Linked DNA regions of Medicago truncatula. The protein of the gene in region 2 binds, or shares a complex with, the protein of the main gene of each other region. Links are inferred from orthologs where the notes say so. Each region holds a gene or a part of one and is shown on either strand. Other genes may lie near its edges.

What was found.
Region 1: SNW/SKI-interacting protein (region 2) and serine/arginine-rich SC35-like splicing factor SCL30 share a complex: the UniProt entries of both Arabidopsis thaliana proteins name them as parts of the spliceosome. The link is inferred for Medicago truncatula from reciprocal best matches to the Arabidopsis thaliana genes SKIP and SCL30.
Region 3: SNW/SKI-interacting protein (region 2) and serine/arginine-rich splicing factor SR34A share a complex: the UniProt entries of both Arabidopsis thaliana proteins name them as parts of the spliceosome. The link is inferred for Medicago truncatula from reciprocal best matches to the Arabidopsis thaliana genes SKIP and SR34a.

The regions. Positions count from the first base shown.
Region 1 is NC_053046.1:35,351,839-35,360,621, reverse strand, and holds the start of serine/arginine-rich SC35-like splicing factor SCL30, read right to left. Parts: upstream 3,700-8,783; 5' UTR 3,557-3,699; intron 3,435-3,556; 5' UTR 3,421-3,434; coding exon 3,167-3,420; intron 1,856-3,166; coding exon 1,688-1,855; intron 1,543-1,687; coding exon 1,499-1,542; intron 1-1,498. Other genes in the region: probable dual-specificity RNA methyltransferase RlmN, read right to left, coding at 5,565-5,753, 5,862-5,998, 6,103-6,242, 6,481-6,584, 7,569-7,685, 7,866-7,952, 8,088-8,189, 8,777-8,783. UniProt on the Arabidopsis thaliana protein: Involved in intron recognition and spliceosome assembly. Probably active at the 5' splice sites.
Region 2 is NC_053043.1:11,530,859-11,539,175, forward strand, and holds SNW/SKI-interacting protein, read right to left. Parts: upstream 3,387-8,317; 5' UTR 3,225-3,386; intron 3,108-3,224; 5' UTR 3,104-3,107; coding exon 1,262-3,103; 3' UTR 946-1,261; downstream 1-945. UniProt on the Arabidopsis thaliana protein: Splicing factor involved in post-transcriptional regulation of circadian clock and flowering time genes. Associates with the pre-mRNA of PRR7, PRR9, ELF3 and GI, and is necessary for the regulation of their alternative splicing and mRNA maturation.
Region 3 is NC_053044.1:45,763,100-45,771,150, forward strand, and holds the start of serine/arginine-rich splicing factor SR34A, read right to left. Parts: upstream 3,700-8,051; 5' UTR 3,544-3,699; intron 2,813-3,543; exon of another isoform or gene 2,547-2,812; intron 2,409-2,546; 5' UTR 2,384-2,408; coding exon 2,297-2,383; intron 1,670-2,296; coding exon 1,604-1,669; intron 1,512-1,603; coding exon 1,437-1,511; intron 1,363-1,436; coding exon 1,218-1,362; intron 736-1,217; coding exon 689-735; intron 605-688; coding exon 547-604; intron 35-546; coding exon 1-34. Other genes in the region: protein EMBRYO SAC DEVELOPMENT ARREST 30, read right to left, coding at 6,837-7,011, 7,747-8,051. UniProt on the Arabidopsis thaliana protein: Probably involved in intron recognition and spliceosome assembly.

The DNA.
Region 1 (8,783 bases), on a different chromosome or scaffold from region 2:
ACATGATTATAAAATTGTAAGTATTTGTAAGAAATGCAGAGCAATGCCATATTACATTTGGGCAACCTAAGAACTAAGATTCAATATAAACAATGCTTCATACTCCCTCCGTCCCAAATTGTATGACGTTTTGGGCATTTCACACATATTAAGAAATGTAATTAATATTGTGTGGTAAAGAGATATTATGAGTTGTTTTACAAAATTATTCCTTAATAAATGATATAGGAAAGATAAATGAAAAAATTGAAAAAAGAAAGAGTAATAAATAGTTAAGGATATAATAGGAAAAGTAACATTAATGTTTCATTGGTATTCTAAAGTGACATACAATTTGGGACAAATATTTTTTCTAAAGTGACATACAATTTGGGACGGAGGGAGTATATATATATATATGAAAACATTTACCAAGATGAATGAAAAATTGTATAACTATAAAGTGCAGCTGATTTAGCACATCAAAAGACTAAACGTGGTCAACGAAAGTTGAGGAATGGGAGAAAGAACTGTCATAGCATCTGAAAAATACCTCACCACACCATGAATGATGAATCTAGTGTTGTAAAATATGTCCAAAGCATCTTATCTTTTATCTTAAAATTAGTTTTCCATATTCTCTTACTTTCATGATTTGTTATTTTTTACATATTTCATTAGGATTAAGAGTCTAGTAGAGTAATACAGTAATAGATTAATATAAATAAAGACTCGTGTTTTGACTTCTGTAGTTAACATTCAACATACCATTCCTACTTCTATCATAGTTCTGAGTACCCCCACCTTCCCTTCCTCTATGCCTAAAACTAGCCCAATGACTTTAACAAGAAATATGAAAAAGCATATCTTCAAGCATGGCACCTATGCATACTCTTAGTAAAGTAGCTTAAAAATTGGCAGTCCCCAATGAACGCCTTGAAAAATTAGCAGTATATGTATCCCCATCACAACAATCATTGATGAGATCTACCGCTCCAACAAAAATCAGTCTTCCAATCCTGTTATATCTAGTATGGTTTTCAGTAGGCTAGCTAAAATCAATTAGTTAAATAACTTTTAGACACATAGAAAAGTTTAGTATAGGAGCGGGAATCCTGACAATAAATCTCTGGAGCATCAATACTATGACAACAAAGGTCAAGGACACAGTCTGAATACTATTTCCTACTCACGAAATACATGGATATGACATTATAGAGAGAAAAAAAATACATCATTGTTTCTTCACATCAGCATAAATACAAAATAGGCTTAAATAAGCCACAATTCTATTGTCAAATTAATTCAGATAAAGCACCCATGTCACACACTATCATTCTATTGTCAAATTCAAGCAAAAAGGACAAATTCTAATGTGGTGGAAGAACAATATGCATCACAAGTGCAGGTGGAACAAATTTCATATCTAGCATCTAAAACATGCTTCAGCCATAAACAGCATTAGGTGTGCTCAGTATAGGTTTCAAGAAGTTAATACAATTTGTAAAAGTAATATTACCGTGGTAGGAAGACCTTTGCCCTCCATAGCTCCCTCCTGGTCCTCTGTAAAATACAAAAATCATGCAAATACATATAAATGGACTTTTTTTTTTGGTGGGCGGTCTTTAAATGTGACAAAGTAAGATATACTACAGATTTGTAATCTTCTACATGAGGGCAGACAAAGCAGAGAAATCAAAAGACATACCTGGACCTACTAGTCCTATGACGCATCTCCTCTGGCCTTTTTCTTGTCTCTGCAGCCACAACAACAGATATTTCCCTTCCAGCAAAAATTTGTCTGTCCATATGGTACTGCGCCTCAGAGGCCTCATATGCATCCACAAACTGCACGAATGCAAAGCCTCGAGGTTGTCTGTACGGGAAAAAACAGAGCTTCATTCTAACACTGCTACAAAAATATTGGCAGAGAAAGACTGCAGAAAATGCTGATTAGGCAGACTTCGCATACCACAGTAACCACCTCAAATCACATTACATAGTATAGCTTTCTTTAGACAACCTATTAATGGCTCTCTTGAGACATGCACACAGCAGTGGACGCTGAATTACTAAAGCCGCTAAAATCCAAAGCTTAGTTGTGACTGGGCCTTATCTTTACATTCAAGTAGTAAAGTGACTTGAAAAATTCTTCAACATTCTTGTTGTATTTATAATCACTTGAATTCAAAGCTTCCCACAACCACAAAATAAAAAAAACCTCCTCACAAAGTCTTCAATAGGACAACCAACCAACTTGCATGAAACTTGTATTCATTGAGTTGCGTAATTATATAGATTCTCTATCTTGGTATGACATTAACACACTTGGAAACCAACAAGTTAAAGAGTGAGTAGTTCTCTTCAAATGTGGGGCTTGGGCTTGTTTTAACTTCAATTTCAAACCAACATACCCCCTGACAAACCAGTCAAAATTAATTCATAATGCAAAAGTTTAAACTTATAAACCAAAAAAAAATTACATTTTGGTCCCATCTATTTTCAAATTCACAATTTTGGTCTCCCCGCATATTATCTTTTACAGTTTTAGTCCTTGCACTTTCAGACTTTGGTCCCTCAATTTTGAGTATTTTAAGTACTTCTGGTCTCCAACATAACGATTTTTGGGGACCAAAAGTTTGGAAAAACCGTAATACTAAGAGACCAAGTGCCTGTTTGGATTGGTTTATATGAACTTATCTATTGGAATAAGTTGCTTTAGCTTGTGACACTGTTCATAAACTGTTTTCAGCTTATTTTCATAAGTTCTCCAAGATATCTAATGAAAATAGCTTATAAATTTTACGAAAAGAATTTCAATTTATTTTACATTCTGCTATAGAAATATCTTATACATAAGCATTTGTGCTTTAAGCTGCAAATCAGCTGTTAATCCAAACAGCGCCCAAAAGTACAATAAAACAATTACAGAAACCAAAATCCCAAAAAATAATTCGCAAGAACCCAAGTCATGAAAAATAAAATAGGGAACCAAAATCGTAAATTTAAGAAAACAGGGGGCCCAACACCAAGACATGACACAGAACAGACCACCCCAACCCAACAATCAACCTGTCAAATCTAACTCAAATCTGAAAAACACAAACATAACAAACAACACACAACAACAAAACACAAACAATAAATATGAATAATTACGCAGAGTTGATCACAAATGTTAGCTCACCCAGAGTAATAATCCTTCGGTATGTAAACATCGCGAACCGGTCCAAATCGCTCGAACGGCGCTCTCAGCTCCTCAGGTCTACAATCCAAAGGAATGTTCCTCACCAAAAGACTTCCATTGTTGCTTTCTCTACGTCTACCACCACCTCCACCACCACCACCATATCCCCTCCTACCACCACCACCTCCACCGCCACCCCTACCGCCGTATCCTCTCCGTGGAGGACTGTAGTAACCTGGACTGTTCCTCCGCATCTCTTAACCTAACCCTAATTTCAAAATTAACAAAGAATTAATGCAAATTAGCGTGAATTCGAATGTGTTTAGTGTTGTTTGAAACGAATTAAAGATTGGAATGATGAAAAAGATTATGAATTTAGAAAATTGTTACCTTGATTTGAGTGATTAGAGAGAAAAGTACCAAAAAATTCGTATGCACGGGAAAGAATAGAAAAGAAAAAGAAAGCGTTGAGAATGTGTTTGTTTTTTCATCTGAGAAACCTATTTTAAACCCTAGATTAGATTTCACGTGACCACTCCAAACGCACCGTTTCATTCATAAGTAAATATTATATATATATTTTTAATTATCTTTCTTTTTTTGAGGGAATTTTTTTAATTTACACACCTCTTATTGAAATTTTTGAGTTTGGTCATTCACAATTTTTTCTGTAAATTAATATGAAAATATCATGGATTATTTTAAATTTTATTTTTCTTAGAGAATAAATTAGTTCATGAGAAAAGTGTGATTCTAGATCTTAGTCAAACTCATTTCAAATAGATTTACACAAACTTATATGAAGTACTTTTTTTTTGTTACAAGTACATTTACATAACTTAATTCATGAACATTCTAAGTTATTAGATTTTATTTTACTTAAAATCAATTCAAGCACATTTGTCTAAACTCAGTTCAAGTACATTTTTATAAAGTCAAAATTATAATTTTAATCTATAATCTTTAAATAAAATATTCATAAACAAAGATAAATGAAAGATTATAGATTTAAAGATTGAGAGGCCATAAGAAAATAAAGTCATGAATTTGAAGCTTAAAAATTCATATGCAAATAGATAAAAAGGACAAAATTGAAATGAAAAAAAAGAGATAAAAGACCAAATTATTGCCTGAAATTAAGTTAAAAGATTAAAATTATAATTTTGCCTTTTCATAAACTTAGTTCAAATATGAGTTACTAGATTTTACTCAAACTCAGCTAGAGAACACTTACACAAACTCAACTACGTAAACATAGTTCAAATGTGTTTACATAAACTTATTTCATGTACCATATATACACTTTGTTTTTCCTTTTTTGAAGTCATGTATACTCTGGGTTGCTAGGGTTTACTCAAACTCAATTCAAGTATGTTTACATAAACTTTTATGTACGTTTATGCAAATTCTATTCTTCAAGTACTTTATGCTAAGAGTATTTTGAGTTAGAAGTAAGCAAGAAAAAAGGTGTTGTAATTACCAAATGACTGAATTATATTACATTATGAAATTTCTACCGGAATCCAAATTCTATTTTTTCCTTCACAATGCCAACTTCTTGGAAAGGCTTTCTGCTGATTTTGAGCAATGCAAGGAGAGGGAACAAGATTTACCCTTAACTCAATGATAACAATAAACAATCCAAACTCCTTAGCTCATTGAAGAGCTTGAAGAAGTTCTATGGCCTCACCTTCCTTGACGGTTCCCATACAACTGCTATACCATAAAGCAGCTGTTTAGGATCTGAATTCGTGAGATTTTGCATTTATAATTTGCAAAAACTAGAAAACTTTAACATTGTAAAAATGACATGGTGCATAGTGAACCACTTAAAGGATTTGTATTCCAAACAATGCCTATGTTTTAACAGCAACAAAAAACAATAAATTAACAAAGGGGGAAAAAATCTGTTTTAATAGTCAGATTTTTACAAGCTGGATCAGCAGTTGCGACATAAATAAATAAATAAATATATAATGCAAAAGGGGTCCAATACATGAAAAATATCTCCCAAGTGCACCATATGAACTACAAAGTCCTAATCACTTATAACCAACAATATTTGCTTGTGGTAGTAACTAATTTCCAGTAGGTTGTTTCTTATGAAAATTTCTCTTAGCTGCCAAAGAATCTAAAGACTTTCTAAGTTTCCAAACCTGCATACCACAAAAATAGAGCTAACAACCACATAGATGTTTCTCCACATTTCTCTGCTAGCAAGAAAGTTGACATTACAACTCAGGCAGTAACAGGAAACACCTCTATCCCTTCATAATTGGTAATTGAGATTATACTCATTTTGGTTGATCAAACCTCTCATTGTTTTAGTCCGAACTTGTTTAGTATATGCCATATAAGTAGAAAGTTGATAACGTAAGCAGCCACGAAACTGACACTATCAACCTGTAACTGCAAGGTCCATATTTGGAAGCTGGGATTCCAGATTGTTGTCAGATTCTGTGACCAAAGGAGTTTTCTGGAAATTGTTCCGTAGCTGACCACAAGCTGCATTTGCGTCCAGTCCTCTGGTTTGGCGTACACTAGTGGTTATTTTAGATGACTCCAAAGCATTAACAAATGCTTGCACCTACCAAATTACAAAGTATGGATTAAATACTCTAAAATTATTGAATACATCAAGACATAAATTATAAATCGTAATCAGAATGAATGAAAAATAAGAAAATTATCATACTGCTTTTCTGTAAGGACGGCGAAACTCAGAGCCTTCTATTGGATTAAAAGGTATAAGGTTGACATGATAACCACTGCCATATTCATGTAGTAGTTTAGCGAGTTCTACTGCATTGTCTACTGAGTCGTTGATTCCGGCTGCTCAAACATAATGCCAGGAAAGTGGAAAATACATCGTAAGAATTTCATTAACCTTACTGTACAAAGGAGAAACAAGAATTTGTTGGAAACTTTCTGTGTACCTAAAAGTGCATATTCAAAGGAAACCCGTCTACTTGTTTCGTGGAAGTATTCCTTGCAGTCTTTCATAAGTGCATCCAATGGGTAAGACTTTGCACTTGGAACAATTGTCTCCCTTAGTTTCTGGTTAGGAGCATGTAGGCTGAAGTAAGATACAAAAGGGAAATCATATGTTAGAAAGAGAATTATTTACATGAACGAGTATGAAAGAATCCACTAAAACAAGCCACCGAATGATATATTTTGCAGCCACAAATCAGACCAGACCAAACACCAGAGTATGAACAGTGAACGAAGAAAGGCATGAAATAAAGGCATATTGCCTATTCATTGTGAAGTTCTATTTCTTGACTGACAAGATCAGAATCAAGGACAATTACCTCACAGCTAAAGTGGATTGAAGTTTATGAGTAGCTAACTTCTTTATTGTATTTGGAACCCCCACGGTGGAGATAGTCATCATTCTTTGCCCAATTTGTATATCCTACAAGAAGCCCAACCAAAATCCAACATTAGCACACTTACATGCTATTACTATATGCTCTCTATCATCATAATAAAATGAAATATAAAAGGTGAAATAAGACCAAGCAAAATGTTATTCTGATCAGTAGTGTCAATCACCAATCGCAGAAGATAGCTGTTTGTTCAAATTCTGCTATGCAACAGTGCTATAGCACAAATATAGTTGCTATTTAACAACATTTTGCACTAAATAGCGTATCACGGAGCAAAAGCGATTAGTTCAAATTCTGCTACGCTATATTGTTATACCCGCTACTTGACAACACTGATGCTGATACATGATTTCTTTTGACGGATGAGTATATGTATGCATAAATATTTTTATGCATGTGAGACTGTCTATTCTGTTCTATCTCGTTTATCCTTTCCAATGGAACTAAAACATATCACTTTTTACGTTGCAAGTGTATACTGTTCTGCTCTACTTTTAAGTTTTAACATGTACCAAACATAAAACATAACTAATTTGCTCTCTTATGTTCTGGCCTGTTTTAATTTCTATAAAACTTCTGGAAAGAAAAAAAGAAGATCCATAAAAAAATCCATGTCCCCTCCTCCTCACGAAAAGATAATATTACGTAAAACAACCAATTCAGTAGCAAGAGAACCTAACACTTACTAAGATGGAATCAAATTCAGTAGAGTAATATTAGATTTTTATATTGGGCTTAGCTCATCCTTACAAAACCGATCTATAAGGTGAGGAGTACCACTCATTATAAACTCATTTCAGGCTCTATTTCTATTCTATGCAGATTTGGTTTTTTTCCCCAATAAGTAACAACCAATGAGTCCCAGAGTTTAAATGATAATGTTAACCTAGTTAAGAGCAAAGATGGCAGATGCAGGTTTAAACTCTAAAAATATCATATAGAGAACTGTTACAATTACAAGCAAGCATTTGATAAGGAAATAATGTCACATATGATAGGCATTCATTCACCTTATTCAAGCAACGGTGTGCCTCAAGTACTGCCTTCAGGTTTAACATTGGTTCACCCATTCCCATAAAGACTACATTAGTCACCCTGCGTTTGAACACCTCCTCAATGGCCAAGACCTGTTTAAATAAAGAGCTCGCTTAAAAACAATTGCGAACCCGAAAATGATCTCATTGCTTTATTTGATCTTTTTCCTTTCTTTTCTGTTAACATTTTTATTTCTTTTAATTAAATCTAAATTTACAGATCACGTGGGAAATCTAACATCAAACTACTCTAATGTATGTATGGACAGAAACCTGCTCAACAATTTCATGGCTCCGAAGATTCCTAGAAAAGCCGCCTTTTCCAGTGGCACAAAAAGAGCATTTCAGAGGGCAACCTACCTAAATATCCAAATAACAGAAGGACATAACAAAAACAAATGGAAAATATCAGTTTCTTGATCAATAACACAAACATTACTGCAAAGAAAGAAAACAACAACTCATTCATCGATGATTCAAAAGTAAGTCAAACACCTGTGATGAGACACATGCTGTCAGGCGAACTGAACCCTTCTCATCTTCAACAGGAATACCAACAGTTTCAATCAATCTGTTGTCTTCCAACTTTAATAACAACTGCAAAATCAAATTCCAACAAATAGAAAAACAAGAATCAGTGCATAAAAAAAAATCAAGGAAACATCAACAATCCCATCCTTTAACAAGCAAGTTAATATCCTACCCTTCTTCTTAAGAATACCAAGTAAAACACCAAAAGAAAACAACTTGAATCATTGCCGGAAAAATGAGAACAATGTCAATGGAATCAAATTACATTTGTGTTTAGAGGTAAACATCTCAAGATATAAAGTGGTCACTAAAACAGAAATTTAAATCATTTAAAAAAACTAAAAGCTACAGAGCACAACAATACAACAACGTTAATGCTAGAACCAGTGCCACACAAGTTTAAAAAAATATAAAGTTTTTCTTATTGAAAGTATAGCTTTTGAAATAAAGAATGTATTGAATGTTGTGATACCCCATAAATCAGGGTAAGGCTGCGTACAATACACCAAATGGTGGGACCCCTTCCCGGACCCTGCATATGCGGTAGCTCTAGTGCACCGGGTTGCCCTTTATACCCCATAAAAATGGTTAGCAGGAACCATAAATTAAAAACAACAACAATAGGTTTGCTGAGCTGTGATTATATCTTTTACCTTCACA
Region 2 (8,317 bases):
ATAAGTTCTACATCAGGCTATTAGTTAAACCTCGCGCTAGAACAATTTACAAATTTGTTAGACTTTACGAAAACTACCTCAAAAAATAGCAGGACTGGAAAAAATTAACTCACTACAGAAGTAATTGACAGGATTATCCACCACCTTTTGAAACACATGACTAGAATTAATAGCAACTTCCTAAGCACCAAGCATTTTTTTACAATTTAGCACACCCTAATCAGCCAATTTTATACAATATAGAAATATGTCACAAAAAATCATATGCCTGTACCATCTGACAGGAAGCTTGGATGAAAATGGTATGCAAAGATGATCTAATGTAATTTTCAATTCTAGTGCAGGCTACACTCCACACATTACAATCATGATGGTCTGATATAATTTTCCCAAGACTATAAAGTAGTAAAACCACGATATACAGCAGATGGGGTTGAGCCTTCATGTGCACAAATCTAGAGAAGTTAGTTCAACATAGTTGTCAAGAACTACTAAAAATAATATTGTTCCCCATCCTTTTTTGTGGGCATCAAATGTTGTCCTATGGAGGGGTTACTAATACACAGTTCTATCAAATCAAAAAACACAACCACTTAGTTCAAAAAAAAAAAAAAATACACATCCACTTGAATCCTTGGGTCAGGTAATGATTAAACACTGTTTTACACCTCAATTGACAATTTCTCCTTCAATAGCATAACTCAAACAGCAATAACAAGCAATCAAATGGATTATAAAGTATTGAAAAAATTGATAACTCGTTAAATAAATTTAAAGCTATCGATTACATTTCATTCTAGTAGAGAACCATCGATTAGTATAACATGAAAACAGAAAGCCAACAGTTCCACTCTAGTCTCAACAGCTGTAGTCAATATCCTCATTACCAGCCATAACAGTCCATTAATGGCATAAACCAAACAGCAATGGCAGAAAGCAAATGTATTATCCGGTAATCAGGCATGAAAAAACTAGATATATCATGGAGTACATTGTAACAGCCAAATACATTTCATTCAAATAGTGGAGATCTACTTTAAAATTTGAACATTGCATTTCACTGAATATAACTCCATGGAAAGATAAATAACATAAAAAGGTTTCAAAACAAAATACAAGTACATTTCACCACTTATAAGGTGGTCCATAGGCTTGGGGCAAGAAAAAGTAAGATAAATAACTCAACCACGTTATCCTTACAATCCACTTAAAGACATGCCAACCTAAGCATGATAACAATTAGCCTTCAACACTGATCCACTTAACGCCCTCTTTCAAATCCAATGCGAGTCCTGCCAGAACCTCCATCAGAACTATCTCGCATTGAAGATCCGGCACTAGCTCTCATAGTTCCTCCCCCACCTACATTTTCCATGGCCTTCTTACCCTTCTTGACCTCTGTCAAGAACTGATCAAGACCAAATGGATCAGCTTCTTCGCTCTCAAACTCAACCGGCCTATCCCTAGGAGGTGCCCTTTCAGAAGTCCCTGTAAATGATTTGTCAGGCTTAAAGCGATCAGTCTTCATAATCTTCTCCAGCTGCTCGTCTGCACCTCCATAAGCTTCATTATCAACATCCTTCTTCGGCCTGTACAGGGTGGAAAGTGTTGGCTGTGCATTGAACAAGCCTTTATCATACACATTATACTGATCATCAGTGGCAAATCCAGAAGACATTCCTTTATCCTGGTTGAATAGCCTCTCATCATACATGACCTCTGTCCCTTGCTTGGTGGAAGCCATACCAAGAGCAACTTTCTCACTTATATCACGATCCCTATCTCTAGTAATCTTGCTCTTCTTTCCCATGGCAGCATCCTTAGCTTCTATCCTTCTCTCCTTCTCCCTCTCCTTTCTCCTTTCCATACGAATCTTCTCACGTCCCAGCCGCTCCTCTTTTTCTTCCCGACTCTCCTTGGGATAGTTCTTTTCCCTTTCCCTTTCCCTGTCTCTATCCCCTCTATCCCCCCTGTGGTCATAATCAACTCTCATATCACCATCATCCACACCACTCTTTTCCGAAACAACGGGAACAGCAGCAGCCGGAGGAGCCACACCAATTCTCTCTGAGCGTGCTTTCTGAGCCAAAGCCCTCAACTCCTGTTCCTTCCTTTCTTTCTCCTTCAAAAGCATCTCCTTCTGCACCTTAGACCTCATAGCTACAGCTTCTCTAGCCTTCTGCTCTGCGACATACAAAGCCTCAGAAAGCTTAGCAAAATTATCATTAATCTGAACCTCTTGAAGCCCTCTCCCATCAGCAGCCAACCGCTTATCAAGAGGAATAGTATAACCCTTAGGATTCTTCCAATTCGAAATACAAGGTGGTATCTTCCAATCCTGCTGATCTTTCACAGTAACAGGCCTCGGAGGTGAATGCATCACAGGCACAGGAGGTGAACCCGAAGCCTTAGGAACCCTCTTATGCTTAAATTTTGGAGGCTCAAGTGGATCCACAGGCATCTCAACCATCCTAATAACCCTCTCCCTCGCACCAGAATTAAAAGCCGCATTCTGCTGCGAAGGCTTATACTTTATATACTTAGAATCCGAATTATGCTTCGGAACATTCTTCGGCTGCGCAGCACTAAGCCTCACGTTCACAATCTTCTCAAGCGCCGCCTTTGTTTCCTCCATAGTCTCATCAATCTCACGCTGAGCATCCTCGTCCTCACCATCCTCCATTTCATCATCTCCATCATTCTTCAAAATCTTCGGTATCAAATCCTTATGCTGGGTATAAACAATCTTCTTAGCATTCTCATTCTGCTTCACAATAGCATCATAAGCAACATTACCATGAGCATCAACCGTAACCGGAAGAATCTTCGAACCCGGCTTCGAATTCTTATTCCTTCCCATATCAAGCGGATACTGTGCCACATGGATCTCCGGGAAAGCTCCACCTTCTCCAAAATCCTCAACCTTTCGTGGAACAAAACCAGATCGTTTCAGATACGGTGGTACAATTTTGGGTGCGATTGCAGCGGATTTCTCCTCTTCCGTTGCAGTGAATCTTTGCTTAAACCATGGATCGTTGCTATGATCATAGTATGTTGTTGTGGATGATTTTGGTTCTGGAAGGAGTTCCTTCAGAGCCGCCATGGTTCTGCAACAAAAATCAATTTCAAAAAATCAAAAAAACGAAACCCTAATTTATGGAATCGATAATTAACGTCGATTAAAATAAGAATTAATAGAAACAAATTGGTTGAAGAAATATTACTTGTGAACGGCGGAGGACGGTGCAGTGAGGATCAGTGGCGCGTGGTTGAAGATGACGGTGACGCGATTTAGGGTTTATTTGCGATTTTGATTTTCCTTTGAGACTTTTCAATCTTCAGTGTGTTTCGTTCGGGTTCTGAGATTTTTGTTAATTTTTAATTTCTGATTTTTATATAGATAAACCAATGTCGGTCTAGTAAAAAATTATACACAAGATAACGATTAACCCGGGTTCTTAGTTATACCGGTTCAATAATAAAACCAGCTCATGAACCACATATAAACTCTTTACACTTCTCTCAAAAAAATAAACTCTTTACACTAATGACTAATCTTATGTTATATATAAAAAATTAAAACTATTACTTTCTCACTCAAACTATTTCTCGTGCGTCCTATTTTTGTAGGAAAATGTCTATGTGATTTCGGATTTTATAATTTGAATTGAGTTTTTTATCTGTTATGGAGTGAAAAAAAAATGACTTTTTCACCAATTTAGATTCTTTAAATCCGAAAACTTAACAAAAAGAGCGCGTTCCTTGCTTTTTCGGATTATAGAATCAGGACACCCCTAAACATCCTTTTTCAATAGAAAAATAGTTCGGATTATATAATATTAACTCTACCAGCATAACTTCTGATGCAGTGTTTGTTTTAGCGGTGGAGTACCACATTTGCCAAGAAGTTACAATTTGTAACTTGTTAAAACCACGGCCAAGTTACCCTGGGACGAGAGAAAGACACTTTTACCGCACATCCAAATAGGCTATGAGTATTTTTGTAAAATGGATAACAAGTTTAAGGATCATATTAATCTTCCCCATCCTTTTATTTTAGATCATTTTTAGTCGTTCTTATCAAAAATCTGGTTTTTGCAATACTTGATCAGATTGCTGCGATACTTCCCCAGAAAATTAAAAGAAAAAAAATCAAGGATCAAAATTCCCATAGAAGGGACTTCTTACGAGACTCCGTCCCTCAAAATTTAAAATTCCATCGTTTAGACCAATTTTTCTTATCTCATAAAAATTCGAAAAAAAAAAATTTCATTAATTTAATTTTGATTTTTAGAATTTTTTTGTGGTATTTTTATGATTTTATTTGACATGTTTTTTAAAAGCAAAATTCAAAACTGCTAAAATGGAAGAGATTCTAATTGCTGATTATATATAAACATATTTCGGATTGTATGATCCGAACAGATCCAAACTGTGTTCAGATTTTATAATCTGAAATCTCATGGGTATTTTATAAAAATTATATGGCGCGTGAGAAGTAGATAGGGTGAGAAAAATAATAGTCATAAATTAAATCATATGAAGCCCGAATACTCCATGAGACGCATCCATATCGGATTCAAATATGGATACTCCACAGATATGCCCATGGAGTGTTGGAATTAATTATTTTAATTTTTTAAAAATATTTTAGCAAATACTTAGATGATACTTCACAAATACATAAAGATGCTTATAAAATACTTCACAACTACGTATATTATGAAAATTCAATCAAATACCTATATTATGAAAATTCAATGGAAGTGTATATGATTCAACTTTAGATCTAAAATAGTATAATTATTTTTGGATGAACCACTTAAATTTTTATTTTATTTTTGTGGATGAAGGTAATGAGAGAGAAGATTTAATTAATCAACATTAGACAAAATTTGTGTTGCGTTATTTTAATGATGCTTATGTTGATATCATAATATATGAATGAAAATATAATATTATTTATATGAAAATTTTATTTTTTATTTTTTATTTTGATCACATGTATTATTTTTAAAAATTGTGACTTTTAAGAGTAATGAATGTTTTTTTCTTCGAATGTTTTACATTCATATAAGTTTTTGTATAAAAAAATTGTTAATGTATTTTAGTCGTATCGTATCTTCAATTTTAAATTTTTGCGTATTTACTTATTCGTATCGTATCATACCCACACTCGTATCACGTATCCGAATTTCATAGATTAAAACACATTTTTAACTGCCAAAGTTGGTATGTAAATTTTAAAATTATCTTCTTCTTTTTTTTTTTTTTTACCATTTGGTATATAGGGAAAAACTTTATTAATATAGAGTGTTTTCTTAAGAAGTAAATAAAATCAGATAAAAAACTATTTCATCTAAAAATGAACTTTAATTTTTTCAAACAATTCATTTTAGGTGGAGTTTATTGACTATTTAAGCTTGGTTGAATGATCTTTAATTTAATTTGCATACATTAACAATTTAATTTTGTTATATACAAATCGATTTAATCAAAATCACTTCATGATGCCACTTTTTAAGATTAGTTTTTAAATATCTTTATTTTTTTTTTCAAATAGCTTAAAGACTAGAATTCATTTTTTAAAAGGAATAAGTAAAAATCTCTTATTCAAACATCAACCCATACCGTTATTAATTGAGTTATGTTCAAGAATACTCTTTATATTCATCTATTTGACATAATTTGATTAAAAGCACGTGTGAAAAGTTTTACGGAGCATAAAACTCATCTCACTTATATTTTCATTATTCTTAAATAACTCTTGGTCTCTAACTCGGAACTTGAGTTTTTCTAAGATTTCAAATAATCCGAAAATTTAGTTTAAAATTAAAGTCTTTTTTTTTACTCTACACATGAAATTAAGTGCAAGAAAATGATAAAGTATGTTTATGATTTTAGGTCCTCTAAAAAAAAATTATGCTTTGTCAAACCTGAATTACAAGCTGTAACAAAAAATAAAAAAAACTGAATTACAAGCTAACATTGATAGATATGAGAAGTTGAACAACATACTCGCTCCGTCCCTTAATATAAACTCATTTTGCTTTTTTCACATTTCTTATGAAAAGTTGTCGGTGTAAATAATGTGTCTGTTTTGTGTGTTAATATTACTAAATTGTCCTTTGTTTGTATATGTATTAAATTTGATTTTTCAAATTTCAAGACAAGTTAGTAGTATTAATTAAGAGTATGTTTAGGAAAAAAAAAAATAAATACATCTAATAATTTAAAAAGAGATTTATATTTAAGGATAAAAATAAAATCGAATGGATTCTTAAATAGAGGGAGGGAGTGAGTATAATGGAAAACACTCACATCTAATATTTTAAGTAAAAATAGTGTTTCCCTTGGTTGCTCAAAAGTCTAATATGATTACTCATTCAACGTCGTAAGACTTCCAAAATTTCAACACATATAATACTAACAATACTAATATTTGTTGTTAAAAAAAATATTAAATTAGAAAATCTCATAGAAAAAAAAAAGGCTTTCGAGGCATGGATGACAAGGATGACCATTTCTCTTCCCCCAAATTGAATTTGATATGAAGTTAGCTTAATTTATATATAAATAGAATATATATGTTTTTTTTTTTATAAAAAAGTTTAAGTGTCTAGAAGTCCTAGCTCAACTGGCAAATGCCGAAATTGCAAGGTCGGACGTCATGACCCGGGTTCGAACCCGGGACCTCACAGTTGTGTGTGTGTTTATTTTCAATGGATTACCACTTCATCTAAGACCAAAAAAAAAAAAAAAGTTTAAGTAAGTTGGATTGTAACATGCTTCAATTGTAACAAAAAAAAAACACGCTTCAATGCTTAAAGAATTTTTTATATAAATACTTATAAGACGTCCATTAAAAAGGTTATCACATTGACATCACAATGGAACCAACACAATTATAGGATATGGACCAATTTTTTATCAACTAAATCAAATCAATAAAGAGTTAGTTAGAAACTGAAGTATTTTTTAGGGGCCTAGAATCTGAAGTTGTCAAGGCATATTTCATACATGCAAAACAAATTTACAGTTTATGTTTTATTTTTTTCAACTACAAGTAACATTTTGGAAAAGGCTTAAACGTATTTTTGGCCCCATAAATTTGCACTAGTTGCGATTTTGATCCTCTATTAAAAAAACCACATTCCAGCCCCGTAAGTTTCTTTCCTGTTGCAACCTTCAATTTTTGTCATTTAAAATCAACCATTCAATACTGTAAAAACAAGTGGGTGTTTTGTTGAGCAAATTTCAGATTTATAGGGCAAATAATGTGGCTTGGGACCGGTTTCTTGATCTTCTACTGTCTTGAATAGTTGATCTTAAATGACCAAAATTGAAAGTTGCAATAGGGGAGAAACTTAGGGGGCTATAATGTGTTTTTTTTTAATAGGGGGCCAAAATTACAATTAGTGCAAAGTTAGAGGGTCAAAAATGTGTTTAAACCTTTGGAAAAATGTAAACAATATAACAAGTGAATAAATCATGTATTCACAAATGAAAAAAAGAATTAATCATATACTTATTTTTTTACGGAAAGTGAATAAATATTTGTACATCTATTTTCAACATCCTTTTTCTCTTTATTTTTGTTTGCTTATCACATTACAGTTATATCATATCATATCTATCATAACATCTTGATCCTCTATATCCTGCTAGAAATGTGTAAGAGGTGTATCAGTCTTTTTTTGATAGTGTAGTGTCTGAATTTGAATCCTAAACCTTGCATATATTATGCATTATTCCTACCAATTGAGATAAGCTTATGAGAATAAAGGTGTATTAGTCTATTAGATTAGATGTGTACCAAATAGTTTCCATAAATCATATTGTGAAGGAAGACTCAAGAAATTGAAGAACGCCATGAAATTGAATAATATTTTAAATTATTGATAGGTTGGATTTGGATTTCAAGATGGTCGTTAAGAAATTGAAGAAGGCCATGATCCATGCACGAGTGGTAGTTCATAGAGAATGTTTTTAGTTTATTTTATTTTATTTTATTTTTTGAAATAGTTAAAAGAGAATGTTTTTTTTTTTAGGGAAGTTAAAAGAGAATGTTGTTGTTAAGAATATCTGCAATTAACCAAAAATGAATGAGTGATTCATGCCTTTGCATTTTATTAAAAGCATTGAAATTTCAAACACATACTAAAATAAGTATTAGTATATATTTTGGTAAACGTATGTCTTAGAGCATATGCAAAGACACTTGTATATTTTGGTATATAAATATGTGTTTCAAGCTCAACACTTCTACATCCTTCAGAAAAAAAGCCTGACACTTCTATAGTTTAATAGTTGATAC
Region 3 (8,051 bases), on a different chromosome or scaffold from region 2:
TCGTAATTAGTGTAATCAACAAGGCCAAAAGTCCCTGAGCAGAAAAGAGCAGTATGAGTGGAAGAAATGATAACTATATTGCAAGCACAAACATATATTGCAAAAGGACAACACTCCAGAAAATAGGAAGTTAGAAATAGCCATCTGATATCACAGGCTTATTCTGGTACCCTGCAGACTTGGTCACTAAACTAAAATGAGAGTGTGCACTGAAACAATTGAGAAGAAAAGGTGTCTACTAACATGGTCATTCGTCACTAATACCAGAATGACCAGCTGCGGGGCTGATCATGTTACTCTTTACATATCAATTGTGATTTCCATTTGAGGGGGAGCCTCAAGCCATAAAAATATTAATAAATTAATTTAATACAAAACAGAGGTGATCTTCAACCAAGTTATTTATCTTTTAGTAGGCCTTGGTTTTTTTTACGCCACTCAGATGGAGCAGAAAATACAAAACATGCACCATACGACAGCATAAATATAGAAAAGGTAAAAAGCTGATAAAGATATTGCAAAACAAAAACCAAAATAAATGTGTACCTTCACTGTCACGGGAAACTTCAGCAAAGCAAACATCACCAGCTTTTCGCATATGATCCTGAAACCAAATATTAAAATTGTAGGTGCTATGCTGATGATTTGAGTATCTCTCATTTGTTATTTTTTATGAACATTTTGATACCTTCAAATCCTGCCAGGATGCAGAAGATGGGAGTCCTCGAACAATAACTGTAGTAAACAAAAACAAAAAAGACTAAGATACTATGGTGTGTAGAAAATCACGAAAAGTTAGAAAACAAAAATATCTTCAATAATTATTGCCGATTGGCAATAATATGCATAAAAGTAGAACAAAAATCACTTGTAATTTATGAATCACATAAAGCAAACAAGCACATACAGTAACAAATATCGAAAATTGTGAATTCATAAACATGCAGATAAGAGTCATGGACAATGGTTCAAGAGTTCTCAGCATGAAAAATCTTAGAATGCCATGAATCGGGGAAATTTAAATTCCCTTTTTGAAAGAAAATTTAAATTCTTCCTTAAAGAATGATAAACATGATATTAGTCGGAGCTTAATGGGTGAACAGCCTAAATGAAAAATAAAAATGCAATTCCGCGTTTTTTATTTGGTAACAAAATACCATTCAGCATATGTTCCCTATCATTTTTATATTGAAAAAGGAATCCCTAAATAGACACACCTCGAAATTCAGAATGGCGAGAGACACCAAAACGGCCCCCACCAGCACTATCACCGCCGCCGCCTCTTCCACCGCCGCCGCCACCACCACCATACCCACGTCGGTCACTTGATGATGGCCCTCTGCCTCCATGGGCGAGCTCCACCTACAACAAGAACAGATTAGGCATTCCGAAGAAAGTTTTCACCTCACAAGACAAAAGTTGGAACAGTCCCTTACTCTTAATCGACAACCATCAAAGTTGTAACCATCACGACCCCGAATTGCATCTTCAGCATCTCGAGCATTGTCAAACTACCAAGCCAAAATACAAGTAATCTAGTAGTGAGAAAAAGGGTAAAGAGTGTCGCCAAGACAGAAATATATAAGAGAGTAATTATAAATACCTCAACAAAACAATAACATGGAGGGCGAGGAGGAACCTTCAATTCAATTTCCATTATGCGGCCATACTGTTAAGGGAATAATGGAAAACCATTGTAACATGACTATGTTAGTACATAACAATCAACCTCAAACATTGACCCTTGAAGCTACGTATAAGATAAGAATCAAGCAACAGATATAACTAAGGGTAAAATCCAAATCCAAGTTAACAAAGCTAAGCAAACTATAGTCCATTCAAAGGAAAAGGAGGTCAACAGAAAAAATACATGGCTGTAAGTAGTTAAGAATATATGATTCTTTATCCTTCATAAGTCATAAGAATTGAATAATGCAAACTATCTGCTTGTCAGTTAAAACAACAAACAACTACCCAAACCTTTTCTCGTTAACTGTTATCATCTGAATTGAATATATGTTTAATGAATTTTACTAATCGGTTAACATAATTGTAATTGATTTCCAGTAATTAAACAAAAAATAAATAGAGAAGTAGAAATGCAGGTTTGAGTAAAAGAAATTTTCAGTTCAAAACTCCTAATGGTGTAAAGGTAGGTTCCAGACAATAGGAAGATATAGAAAAATTCAGTAGCCAAACAAATTGAACAAAACACAAAATATCATGAACTAATATCATGAAGACATGAACTGAAGGCACCATAACATGGAAAACAGGAAAAGTACGCAGCTCAAACCTTGTAGAACAGATCTTCAATTTCTGATTCTCTTATATCAGCGGGCAGGTTGCCAACATAGATTGTGCGAGAAAAGCGACTACTCATATTTGATTGGAGAAATTGTACAGTTCTACAAAAAAACGGAAGCTCATCAACAAGTAGAAATCAATTACTGTCTGAAGCCACGCCTAAACCTGAAACGCCTAACTATCATCATTCTAATGATTACACAAACAAAAGTAAATAAAACCAAAACTATGAAGCAAACCAAGAGAGCAATCCTTGAAGAGAGCCGTGCTCCACAAGCTCCATTGCTCATTTGCTCCAAAGATGCTCCAAAGCTATAACAATATTGAAAATAAATTTGCTCTCCTCATCCTTTCCAGAAAATTAGCAAGCATAATCCTTCTGAGAGTGAGGAAGAATCTCCAATTATTTAAAAAAATAACCACAACTCCACCCCGATTCTCCCACTCCCACTCTATATTCCCTATGTTTGATTGCAAAGCTCAAATTTGTCCAAGCGCTTGTCATCTATCATAAAGAAAGCATTTGTGTCATGAGATCAAATTATGATCATATACTCAACAAGTTACCTTACTCATCTCTCGTTTAACCGCTTTGACAGATCAAACCCTAACATTACCCTTTTTTTTATTGATTAAACTAGCACTAATGGCCATTTTACAACCGTCCCCGTTGGTTACAAGGCTAAGCTCTTACCACTGAGCTGGTGCCTCAACTGTAAACATTACCCCTTGTTAATTTTACACACACTTGTTTTAGCTGCTTATTCTCCGGGACAAGTAACTGGTACTACATTCCTATACCCTCACCTCACAATCTGAAATACCCATGTATACAATTCACAAATCCTTAACTAGAATCATTACCCTTTTACCAGCTTCTTCAATCTCGTCTGCAGATTTCACCCCGTGAAATACACAAACTTAAAACGCAACCACATCACCTAAATTGGAGATTATTTTCCAATAATAACTAAGATATACAGAACAATAAAAATTCAAAATTCTAACGTGATAACTAAGCAGAGTCTTCAGAAATTGCACCCAATAGCATACAAGGTGGGCAGGCAAAACCCAAGTTGCGAATTTTAAAAAAAATTCAAACTTGGAGCTCAACGATGGAAATGAGATAAAATTTACCTCAAAACCCTAATTTAAAACGGGAACATTCAAAATTCAATAGAGGCATGAAACAAATTCAAATTCAACAAATCAAAAGAAATTTGATGCACGCCATACCAGAAAGATTACAGCTTGAGCACCCAATCGCTGCAAAACTGAAGCCGAAGCTGGAACAAGATCCCTACGAAATCGAGAGAAGAAACGAAGAGTTTGAGGCAAGAGATTAGGGTTTAAATCTATGGATCCGAAACGGGTTTGGGCTTCAATAGAAAAGGAAAACGGCCCATCCTTTGTTAATGATTGCTAATCGCACCCCTTATATGCTCAAATTTGTACGACGGTATATTTTCAGATGAAATACACCACTGAAAACGTGCTTCCGATATAATACCTTATTTAATGGGGAAAGGATGAGAAATAGTCGTAATTTTTTTGAGCATTTTGATTGGGATTATTTAATTTGAGGGAGAAATTTGCTATTTCAAAAGGACATATACACTTACATCTTGCCACCCTAACAAAACCACTTAACAAAAGGAGCATTTTGATTGGGATTATTTAATTTGAGGGAGAAATTTGCTATTTTGTAATTTAGGATCCCAAATTGTCCGACGCTCACAATTTTGAGACTCAATTAGTTTACTTATTCTTAAAGAATCTAAATTAGATAAGAGACAACATGAACAGGTGTTTATAAGCGGGGACAATCATCGCATCACAAACCAGTTTTGTAAGGTTGTGATAGGACCAACCATAAATTATAAGATTAATATGTAAATATCATTTATATGTAGGGTGTAAATATATTTTATATTGATTGAGAAATCACAGTTATGATTTGACAATGTCTTGATAGTTAAGATACCCTTGTATATATACACGATTATGCAATGAAATATACGAGCCAAATACAATCTTACATGTCCAAATATGTGATGCAATGCTCAAATCTTCTATCCATGAACCAAATGGCCGAATATACAAGATAAAAAAAAACACAGGTTTCTAAAAGAGTGTTGTGTGGCGTGCATTTAAATCATTTTCATCTTATATTTTGTTGATCTAAAGAAACACAGGTTTCTAAAAGACAATCTAAACTCGCTTCATACCTAAACCAAAACCCTTTTTACTGTCTGGCAAAAAATATACGAAGCAAAAACAAAAATCCGACCTACCGAACCAATGGACTAAATTGATGAATTTTATATAGTTTAGAGAATATTTTTTATATTTTTATAGTTTAGTGACTAAATTGGTGAGAAGTTGATAGTTCAAGATTAAAATGATGGTTATTCGATATTACACTTTAATATTTAGGTCTCTTCAATATTACATAGATTAAGGCCCCGTTTGGATAAACATCTTATATAGATGCTTATAGCATTAGTGCTTATAACATTAGAGCTTATATCATAAGCTCTTATACTTGATAAGTTATTTATGTTTGGATATGTACACTAAAAAGTACTTACATAAATTGAAGTGTTTGGATGTGACATTACATAAGCAATTATCGAAATTTTAAATATTTTTAATTTAACAAAAAAATCAAAGAATTGAACCACAGTTATCAAGATTTTTTTTGATAAAATTAATCAAGGTGTAAAAAAACAATATTATAACATATTAATTATAATTATATATATATATATATATATATATATATATATATATATATATATATATATATATATATATATATATATATATAGTATAATCAATATTTGTTCTTAAAAAAAATATCAATATTCATATAAGATAAAATTAACATTAGAGGTGTAAATAAACATATCATATATATTGATATTAGTGTGCAGTTTGTTACCCAAAAAAGACAAGTTAAATTTGTTTTTTTATTCAGTTTCATTTTGTTACGTAACAAAAAAAATAATAAAAATCTTCTTAAAAAAAAAAATCTTAGTTACGTTTGTTACTTTAGTAAGATAAGTATATAACAATTTTGTTACTGATGCACCGCCAAAGATAACTAACATTATAATTAAAATATTCTTTCAAAAAAAATTATAATTAAAATATATGTTTTGAAAAAGTGGATCTAGAGAGAATCGAAAGAGGTTACATAAATTCATAAGCTCCTTGTTAAGCCAGAGGGTAAGCTGAAAATTTAGGCTTATTAAAATATGGCATAAGCAGCTTATGAAACTATGATAAGCTATTTTTATTTATTTACCCAAACGCCTTTAAAAAGGCTTATGGGAGTAGATAAGCCCACATAAGCTCAAAATAAGCCAATCCAAACGGGGCCTTAGACTACTAAAAATGATTTTTTATTATTATTGTAAACAACAATTATTTATCATAAAATTATATATTTAATATAAAGTGCAGATAAACTTTATATTTTTGACCTTTTTTACACTTTGAATTCTCTTCTTCGTTCTTCCGATCACTCTTTCATCCCTCATTCAAAGATATATTTGTTTGTCTCTTTCTCCCTTAATTTTTTCCTTGCATGTTCTCCCTCTTGGGCCTCCACAATATGTGTCTATCTGTCTTTAAATTCTAGAGAGAATATCAAGGTAGAGAAAACGTAAGGAAAAAAGATTGAAAGGCAGACGGACACAGATCTTGAATGAGGGGGAGGATGGGAGAGTGATTGGAAGGAGAGGATGCAAAGATTTTACGGGAACCCGAAGTTTCTTGATCTTATTTGTTTCAGAGCTTTGTTTCCATGGATTGCCGTGTTAGTAATAATTATATTCATCGCACTAAGAACTTTAAAAAGAGAGAGATCATGCGGTGTAAAAAAAAAAAAAAAAAAAAAAAGGATAGCAGCCATATATGGATTAATTTCTAAACAAAAACTCTGCTTCTAACTTTATCTGTTCTCCAATTATGCAGACAGCTGATCTTTTTATCCTTCTGTTCGTAATATGTATGTTACAACAAAAATTCAGATGAAAGTGGAAAGTGAAAAGTAAAAGAAATTGTTATCTTTGTCTATGGAAATAACCAAAAAATTAATGAAAGAATATATTTGAATACCAATATGCTCAGCACAGATAGCATTGAGACATGTGCGTTGCCGGAGCACCTTATAACCTATACCTCTCAAATTTCAGAAAAATTGGATGTTGTATATCTATAGACTGTAGTTATGATATGCACGTCCACTATCAGTCATTTGGATCCATTTCCTCATCTTGATCCCAGACTTGAGTCTGATCAGTTTTACCACCATTTTTTTCAGACTCAGATTCATCAACAAAATCATTACTCTCATAATCTGGGAGCCCATCGTCTTCAGATTTTACCCCTTCTTTCCCCATCGAACCTGACAGACTAGCATGCTGCATCCATTTGGGGCAAAGGTCTTCGCCTCCATATAGAAATTGGCCATCCTCACCTCTAACGCGGTTAGCAACGCTGGCAGAAGCTACTCTACAAGATCATTCTGGAAGTGGATGTGAAAGGAACATTGCTGGTTTTGACAATCGAGATTGCCTTATGAGGCCTTCCTCGGTCATACTTTTGTTAAGATGTTCTTGCACTAAAATTGTCCAATTGTGTTTTGGATGGTACAAATTCTCACGGTTCATGTTGAAAAGTTCCGCAACAACTTTCCTGTAAGAAACATGAGGAAATAGGGTCACTAAAATGTAGAATTAAGGGAAATTTCAACTAACCAAAACCACAATCAACTACATGGTTTTCAAAGAATTAGAATGCTGAGAAGTTCAAAGCGCGGAAACAGAAGTTCATCATACTCATCACCTTCAGATGCATACATACATGCAATTCTCAAGGCATCAAGACAATCAATAAAAAATTACCGCATTAGAAAAAACATAGGTGGAAAGGAAGGAAGGCATACTATGCACACAATTTATTGACAGAACAACACATATGCATAAAATTTATCCAGAAAGTGCCAAAGACAGGCCCTAGGCTTGTCTGTGGTCTGCTGCAAGAGAATTGTCTTGTCTAGCATTTGTTTAAATACTGACATGTATGGATGTCTGGAATAGGACCGAAGAAAGTTGTAATAGTGTTCTTTAGATAAATATTCAATCAAGAGTCAAGACAAAACATGCCATCTCTGAGCATTGTTGGTTACTGAAGTGGAGTAAAAGGAAATAACGTGGCTCGTTGCTCTATATATTTACCCTTTCCCCCACATAGTTCCAGCCCAAAAAGAAAGAGATCACAAAATAATGTCATCTTTCACCCGCTCATTGAACTCAGTAACTTGGCAACTCTAGTTCCCCAATAAAATAAGAAAATTTGATGATTTATATGAAACCTTTTTATATCTTAATGAATATCAATAAATTGAGACAAACACCAAAGAGCACTTACCTGTCCGGTCGGTATGTTCTAGAAGAAGCAGTCTCGTGCAGCCGATGTCCCATGACAAGGCTTGAAAAATATGGCCATCCACTTCCATCATTGTTATATCCAGGAAAGAAGGCATCTGCTTCCAAAGAAACAATGTAATCTAGTGTGTCCCAAAGTAATCTATGCGCTTTCATCCTCATATCCATAGGTGAAGGATCAGGTTCTGTAGGGGTCTTAGTGATCCAACCATACCAGCCTTCCTTTTCATGTTGGTAAATTGGTCTATTTGGAGGTGGCGGTAGAGGCCGAGGCCGAGGACCGGCCCT